2 linked regions of the Cricetulus griseus genome follow. The protein of the gene in region 1 binds, or shares a complex with, the protein of each later gene. Links are inferred from orthologs where the notes say so. Each region holds a gene or a part of one and is shown in the gene's direction. Other genes may lie near its edges.

What was found. Proteins that work in one complex are often made in the same cells at the same time.
Region 2: Cep290 (region 1) and Tmem67 share a complex: the UniProt entries of both Homo sapiens proteins name them as parts of the tectonic-like complex. The link is inferred for Cricetulus griseus from reciprocal best matches to the Homo sapiens genes CEP290 and TMEM67.

The regions. Positions count from the first base shown.
Region 1 is NW_023276806.1:166,108,530-166,112,184, forward strand, and holds part of Cep290 (centrosomal protein of 290 kDa), read left to right. Parts: intron 1-6; coding exon 7-462; intron 463-1,464; coding exon 1,465-1,629; intron 1,630-2,553; coding exon 2,554-2,661; intron 2,662-2,869; coding exon 2,870-3,004; intron 3,005-3,655. UniProt on the Homo sapiens protein: Involved in early and late steps in cilia formation. Its association with CCP110 is required for inhibition of primary cilia formation by CCP110.
Region 2 is NC_048595.1:126,333,725-126,337,379, reverse strand, and holds part of Tmem67 (meckelin), read left to right. Parts: intron 1-1,877; coding exon 1,878-1,947; intron 1,948-2,043; coding exon 2,044-2,118; intron 2,119-3,655. UniProt on the Homo sapiens protein: Required for ciliary structure and function. Part of the tectonic-like complex which is required for tissue-specific ciliogenesis and may regulate ciliary membrane composition.

The DNA.
Region 1 (3,655 bases):
TGTTAGGCACAATCTGATGAAAAGGCACTAATTGCCAAACTGCACCAACATGTTGTCTCTCTTCAAATTAGTGAGGCTACTGCTCTTGGTAAGTTGGAGTCAGTTACATCTAAACTCCAGAAGATGGAGGCCTACAATTTGCGCCTTGAGCAGAAACTGGATGAAAAAGAGCAGACTCTCTTCTATGCTCGCCTGGAAGGCAGAAACAGAGCAAAGCACCTGCGCCAAACTATTCAGTCTCTACGAAGACAGTTCAGTGGCGCTTTACCCTTGGCCCAGCAGGAAAAGTTCTCCAAAACAATGATTCAGCTGCAAAATGACAAACTGAAGATCATGCAAGAAATGAAAAATTCTCAACAAGAGCGCAGAAATATGGAAAATAAAACGATGGAGATGGAATTAAAATTAAAAGGCTTAGAAGAATTGATAAGTACTTTAAAGGATGCCAGGGGCGCCCAAAAGGTAAAACTTGATCTGAAACTCAGTATTTCTATGTTATGTAGTAATATTACTCTTAATTCATAGCTTCATGAAAAATATTCAACCTGCATTTAAAATACTAGTTGTAATTAGCTTAGATCTAACACAGTGGGAATTTGCACTTTCCTATGCAAGGATCTTTAGCAAAAATACTTTTATTGTGTGTGATAGCACAGAATCTTAAACATTCTAAGAAAGGTCAAATAAATGTTAAGTATAATAATTTAAATGACTTAATAGTTATCAGTTTATTTCTACTCCACAAATATTTTCTGTTTATTTGTTTTTCCATGTTTTTACTTATAGATCTTCCTTGTGTACACTTATAGTTTTCATAGATGTCCACATTTATGTTTTAAAGTTTAGTTTTTGCCATCATTTGGGAAGAATTAAATGGTAAATAATACCTTCTAGTTACATCCTTTTCTCTATGTAGAACAACTTAGAATTTCTTTTTTTTTTTTAATTTTCATTTATTGGACAGATTTCTCAAAATTTATTCTTTTATATGTTTATACAGTAGATTCTGGTCACACTTTATAGTAGCCTCTTCTTCCTCACCCCCACCACTTCATCCCATCGAATCCTTGTCCTGTGTTTCATGTGTTTTCATTTTCATTTTGTTACTGACTGAGCATGTGGGTGTGAGTGAGCAGCTGTGCCCTGGAACATGAGTGTGTCACCAGTGGCTACATCACTGTAGACAATGGTGGGAACTCAGAGCAGTACCAACGTGTCACTAAAAAACAAGTGACACTGAATGAAAAACTGAAAGGAAATGTTACTGATATCTGTTTATTCATTTAAAAATAATTTGAAGACTGTTTTATTTTAATATTGTACATATTTTAGAATAGTCTTTGGAAATTCTAAATAGCTTTGCCATATGTCTTGGCTATAGACTAACTTCTTTCATCTTATTACAGTTTGCCATTAATTTCAATTAAAACAATAATATAGCATTTATGTGTATATATAATTTAGGTAATCAATTGGCATGTGAAAATAGAAGAACTTCGCCTTCAGGAACTTAAGCTAAATCGAGAACTAGCCAAGGGTAAAGAAGAAATCAAATACTTGAACAATATCATCTCTGAATATGAGCAAACAATCAACAGTCTTGAGGAAGAAATTGTTCAGCAGAGCAAGGTTTCCTTCTCTTTTTACTTCTGTTCTTTTGTTAAGGCTATAAACATCAGGTCATTACATTTAAGCTGTATTGTTGTGATGAAATATAGCTCCTGTCATATTGAGAAACAAAATAACCTGTTTCTTGCTTCTTAAACTCCAAATGTGCAAATTGACTCAGTTGTAACAGAAGTCTTAAGCTTAAAACAAAACAAAAAGACAGTATGTCATCAAACTTACTAGTAAGTTAATTTTTATTTTGATAAGTTATTTGACTTCTTCAGGCAAGTTTCTGCCTGTTGTCATTGTTGATTTAGAACACAGCATGGGGTAGAAACAGTAGATGCTTGAGAGCCAGATGACACTCAGAAAACACATACTTGCCATAGAGACAGAGACTGTGTTCCCTGTGCTTAGGTCTGTCTTCTGTATCATAGATACTCATGTTCACACTGTCACTGCCTTAAGATCTTCACTCACATTTCTTCTTGCAGATGGAACTGCAAAGGCTCCTTGGTATTGAATAGTCAATTGTGCCATCAAAATTCCCTACATAGAGAGTACTTGCTTTCATTTTCTAGTGTTGGCCATCCTCTAGTGTCTTACATAATTGTTATTGCCTGTTTCTTACTTCCTGGGATATAAGTTCCTTGGTGACAGATGAGGTTTTGTTTATTGCTATGCTTATATTGCCCCAAATGGTGCTTGAAAAATACATGTTTGGAATGCATGGATGAATGGATTCATGACTAGATTGAAATTCTGACTTCATACCTGCCCACCTCTGTGATCTTAGGCAACTTGGCTTGACCTCCTAAGTTTGTATCTTTTCCTATGTAATAAGAGTGATAGTTGCCAAAAGATGAGGATTAAATAAGAAAATGTACATATACCTGTTACATGCTCAGTGTCACTGTGTATGGCCTAACCAAATGTCTTTTTTAGTTTCATGAAGAAAGACAAATGGCTTGGGATCAACGAGAAGTTGAGCTAGAACGCCAACTAGACCTTTTTGACCGTCAGCAAAATGAAATACTCAGTGCAGCACAAAAGGTATAAAAAATGACTAATTGTGTTTGCTGCTTCTTGGGATTAGGTATATTTTTAACTGTATGGTGCTTTAGGTGAATTGTCATGGGTTTCTTTGTTTATTAAAGAGAAGTAAAATTTAGCTCATGATTTTTTTTGACACATTTAAAAGATATAATATTGTTTTCTCAGTACTACACTGCTGTTTTTAAAGCATGTTATTTTTCAATAGTTTGAAGAGGCTACAGGATCAATGCCAGACCCCAGCTTGCCCCTTCCAAACCAACTCGAAATTGCTTTACACAAAATTAAGGAGAATATTCGAACAATTCTTAAAACACAAGCCACTTGCAAGTCACTAGAAGAGGTAATTGGAAGAATTTGTATTTTGATTGGTATATTATTGGGTATGGTTTCTGGAATTTTCTAAATAATATTTAGTAATGGCAATAAAGTATAAAATGTTAGATTTGTTCCTAGTTTCTCTCTTTTTCAGTTCTTATATACTATTTCTAATAGCTGACAATGAATAGTCCATACAGTTAATTTGTATTTACCATTCATTTGTTTACTGTATTCTGCTTTGGGAACACTAAACATAAAAGTGAGAACCAAGTGTAATTAAAAACATTTAATTGTAGCTTTCTGAACAGTATAGTACCTTCCCTTAACTGTTGTTTTCATTATTTATTTTTATTATTTGTTTTGTAGTTTGCATTGCATATCCTTTAGTTTCTTTGTTCATTTTATTTGTGAGTAGGTAAAGTTGAAGCAAATAGAGCTATTTAATCTATGTACAGAATTTGATTAATAGGTGGTCAAATCAGCTCATTAAATTATTTATAAAATAATATAAGATGAATATTATTTAAATTTTAGTTTATGTATAAACATTAGTAAGTGCACTTAAGAAAACTATATTGTGAGCCGGGCAGTGGTGGTGCACGCCTTTAGTCCCAGCACTTGGGAGGCAGAGGCAAGTGAATCTCTGTGAGTTCGAGACCAGCCTGGTCTACAA
Region 2 (3,655 bases), on another chromosome or scaffold:
CCCAGTGACACACCTCCTCTAACAAGGACACACCTCCTAATCCTTCTCAAACATTTCCACTCCTTGATGACTAAGCATTCAAATATGTGAGCCTATGATGGCCAGTCTCATTCAAACCAGCACAAGGACATATTAATGAATGTTGTCATAACTCAGGTACACTGACTGGTAGCCCAATTTTGTAATGCTTCTGTTCCCTCTTTATGTATTCATTTACCACATGCACATAAATTCATAAGCACATCCCTTTTTCCACATGTTCCTCTAGTGTAAATACATTATACCTAGTCCATTATACCTATACCAGTGCCTCTGGGCACTGTTTTTCTTTTTATTTTCTAAGTTTTCTTCTTATATATATTGAAGTGAGTAGCTGAGATTTCTTTTATGAATAGAAGATAATGAGGTGTGTATAATGAACATAACCATCTTCATTAAAGGAGAATATCAGAGAGATTCCTTCATTGTAATGAACACCAGCCTCACATAATATAAATGGAGACCAAGAGAGACATCTGGATTTCCATCCAACTTGGTAGTACCTGGGCACTCTGCTCCTGTCCACTGGAATGGGGTTAGAAGAAGGTATACAATAAGTCAGAGCTTTTAAACATTGGCCAAAGGCAATGAGTTCACCCTTACCCTCTGCTGTCTGGACAACAAATACATCAGCAATGAGGAAATCCTAACAAAGAACCCATGGGTGCATGCATAGAGACTTAAGATACAGCGCCCCTCCGTGATCATCCCGAGTACTCCTGGCCATAGCAGTGCATTGTGGGGATGTGTCAATGAGTAATTAAAATGCCCCAAAGAAACTGAAAGACTGAGGATACAGTTCAGAGGGAGAGTGTTTGTGTTGATGTACAAGACTTAGGGTTCAGACTGAATAAATAAATGAATAAATATTTCTCTTCAGAGAAGTGAAAAATTCATCAAAAGTAAAGAAAAATAGATATAAATTAAATGGAACTTCTAAAAGAAAACAAGTAAAACAAAAACACAGCATATGAGATAAATAGAATTGAGGACAGTAAAGAAGAAATAAATACACTTGTCAATAGACTAATTGGATAATTGCAACAGAAAGTAAGTTTGTTGCTTCCCCCCACTCCACTCCTCAGAGAGGTAAGCCTTCCCAGGGGAAGTCAACAAAGTCTGGCATATCACTGTAAGCCTGGACCAGGGCCTTCCTTCCTATACCTAGGCTGAGCAAGGTATCCCTCCAAAAAGAATGGGCTCCAAAGCCAGTTTAAGAACTAGGGATAAATCCTGGCCCCACTGCCAGTGGCCCCACAGACTGTCCAAGTCACACAACTTTTACCCACATCTAGAGGGCCTAGTTTGATCCTGCTTTTTAACTTGTCTGTCTCAGGTAATTGATGGTCCATATAAGTCCATCTCAATCCCCACTAGTCCCACTGTCTCCATCTCATACCTTAATTGAAAATAACAGAGATGATAGACCAATGTGTTCTTGCAACTTTGGCAAAAGGCTAAACATGCTTGTGTTCTCAGCTCACACTGAAAAGGTGTATTTGATATACCTACTTGTGCAAATGGATTTAGTATCATTTACATGAGTTTGTTGGACTCTGTTGTTAATGATTTTATAATCTTCACTATACTCATGTTATACATTTTCAAGTATGTAGTTAAGAAAATACCCTCTATGATTAGCCAATTTCATTTATACTTTGCTTTATTATAATGATGTAAAACTCTTTAAAGGCAGGCTAATATTTCAAGCTTATACAATTAATTGCTTAGTTGACTTACTGTGTTCTAATGTGTCATTTAGGGAAGATAAGTTCTCAGTTAAGTTGGGCTCAATGTCATTCATTAACATTTAAAATTATTTTTATTATATTGATCAGGTGTGTCCGCTGTGAACCAACGTTCGTGAATACCAGCCGGTCTTGTACATGTTCAGAGCCTCACATTTTAGTAAGGACAAACAAGGGGATGAAGTACATATTTTTAATTCAATACATAATAATACTTTTCTATAATTAGATATTTTTCTCTTATTAATTTGTGAAGACAGGTGGATTATGTTTCAGCAACACAGGGAATTTTCGACAACGTGTGATTTCCACGGCACGTTACGGAGAGCTTGTGAGTGTTTTGGGGTTCTTTTTTGATTGACCAAGCTTGTCTTGCATTTCTTCCTTTGATTAATTTCAGACAAACTGAGAAAGCTTTATGTGTAAATGACTTTAAAATACAAATAGTTAAAACCATGAGTCTGACATCTCAGCAGTATATTTTAAAAGTGTACTCCTTCTCTTTACCTTCTCTCATCCCTTTAATTTACATGAATTTACTTTTTCATAATTAAAACTGAAATTGCCAGGCAATGATGATCCCACCTCTCAGGAGGTAGAAGTAGGTGGAACTTGTGAGCTCGAGGTCAGTCTGGTCTACAGAGTAAGTTCCAGAACAGCCAGAACTATGCAGAGAAGCCCTGTCTCAGTGGAGGAGAGGGGAGAAATAATTTTCAAAGAATCACAACGTTGTATTTTTCCTGAAATTTCCAGCTTTTAGAGGTTATGTTCTTTTTTGTTTTCCAGTTTGAGACAAGCCCTCTGTCTGTCCTTTTCTTTCATGAACTTGACAGTTCAGGTTCCAAGACTTCCCATCTGTGGGATAACTCCAGCCTGCATCTGTCCTGTGCCTCATCATAGTCAATGTGTGCTTGCTAGAAAACCATTAAAGAAAAAATGGTATACTCAACTCAGTGCTCTATGTCCTGTCAGACAGTGTACAATGTCTCTCCATGTCAGAGAGCATACAGTGACTGTCTGCCTGCCCCATCGCTGATACTGTCAATTTTGAACACCAGCTATGATGTTATTATGAGTACCTTAAACTCACCATTTCCTCCTTTGTAATTGAAGAGTGCTTTTTTAAAGAGAATTTCTCCTGTCCAAGGACTGTCTGAGCCTGACCCTGCTTAGCTTCTGAGATAGGTGCAGTCAGGGTGGTGAGGCCATAGATGGTGTGAGGAGAATTTCAAAGGCTATATATACTTTACTGAGTCTTAATGTACCATCTGATCTCCCTTTGTGATTCTTTCCTTTAACAGCCTTCCACATTTATTCACTGACACTGTTCATAAAGAACATTTGTGCATGTGTGAATATGTGTGTGTGAGCATAACTGTGCACGTGTATGTTTCCTAAAAAAGAAAATTTTGCTTACTGAAGAGATGAAAACAGTGCCTCATAATTGTATTTTAATGTATCTGATGGCTGTGATACCATTCTAGATTTGGTTGTATCTCCTCTGTTATCTGTAACTCACTCTTGTGTTCTCAGTTTTTGAGCTTTTGACCAGAGGTTTATACCTATATATAGTTCTCAGAATTCAGTTATGAAAACAGGTTTGATGACACACTTCTATAGTCCTAGTACTTGAAAGTGGAAGCAAGAGGATCAAGAGTTCAAGGTCAAAGTTGTCTATGTAGTGAGTTTGAGACCAATCTGGGCTGCATGAAACCTGTCTCCATAAAATAAACAAACAAAAACCATGTATGCCTGCCCTGGCCTGGCCTCCTGGAGTTTCTGGTTGCCTTTGGATAAATAAAGTAACTTTTGGTTTTAGAACATTCCAAAGGTTATTCTGATACTCTTCGGTGTACAAAGCACCATTT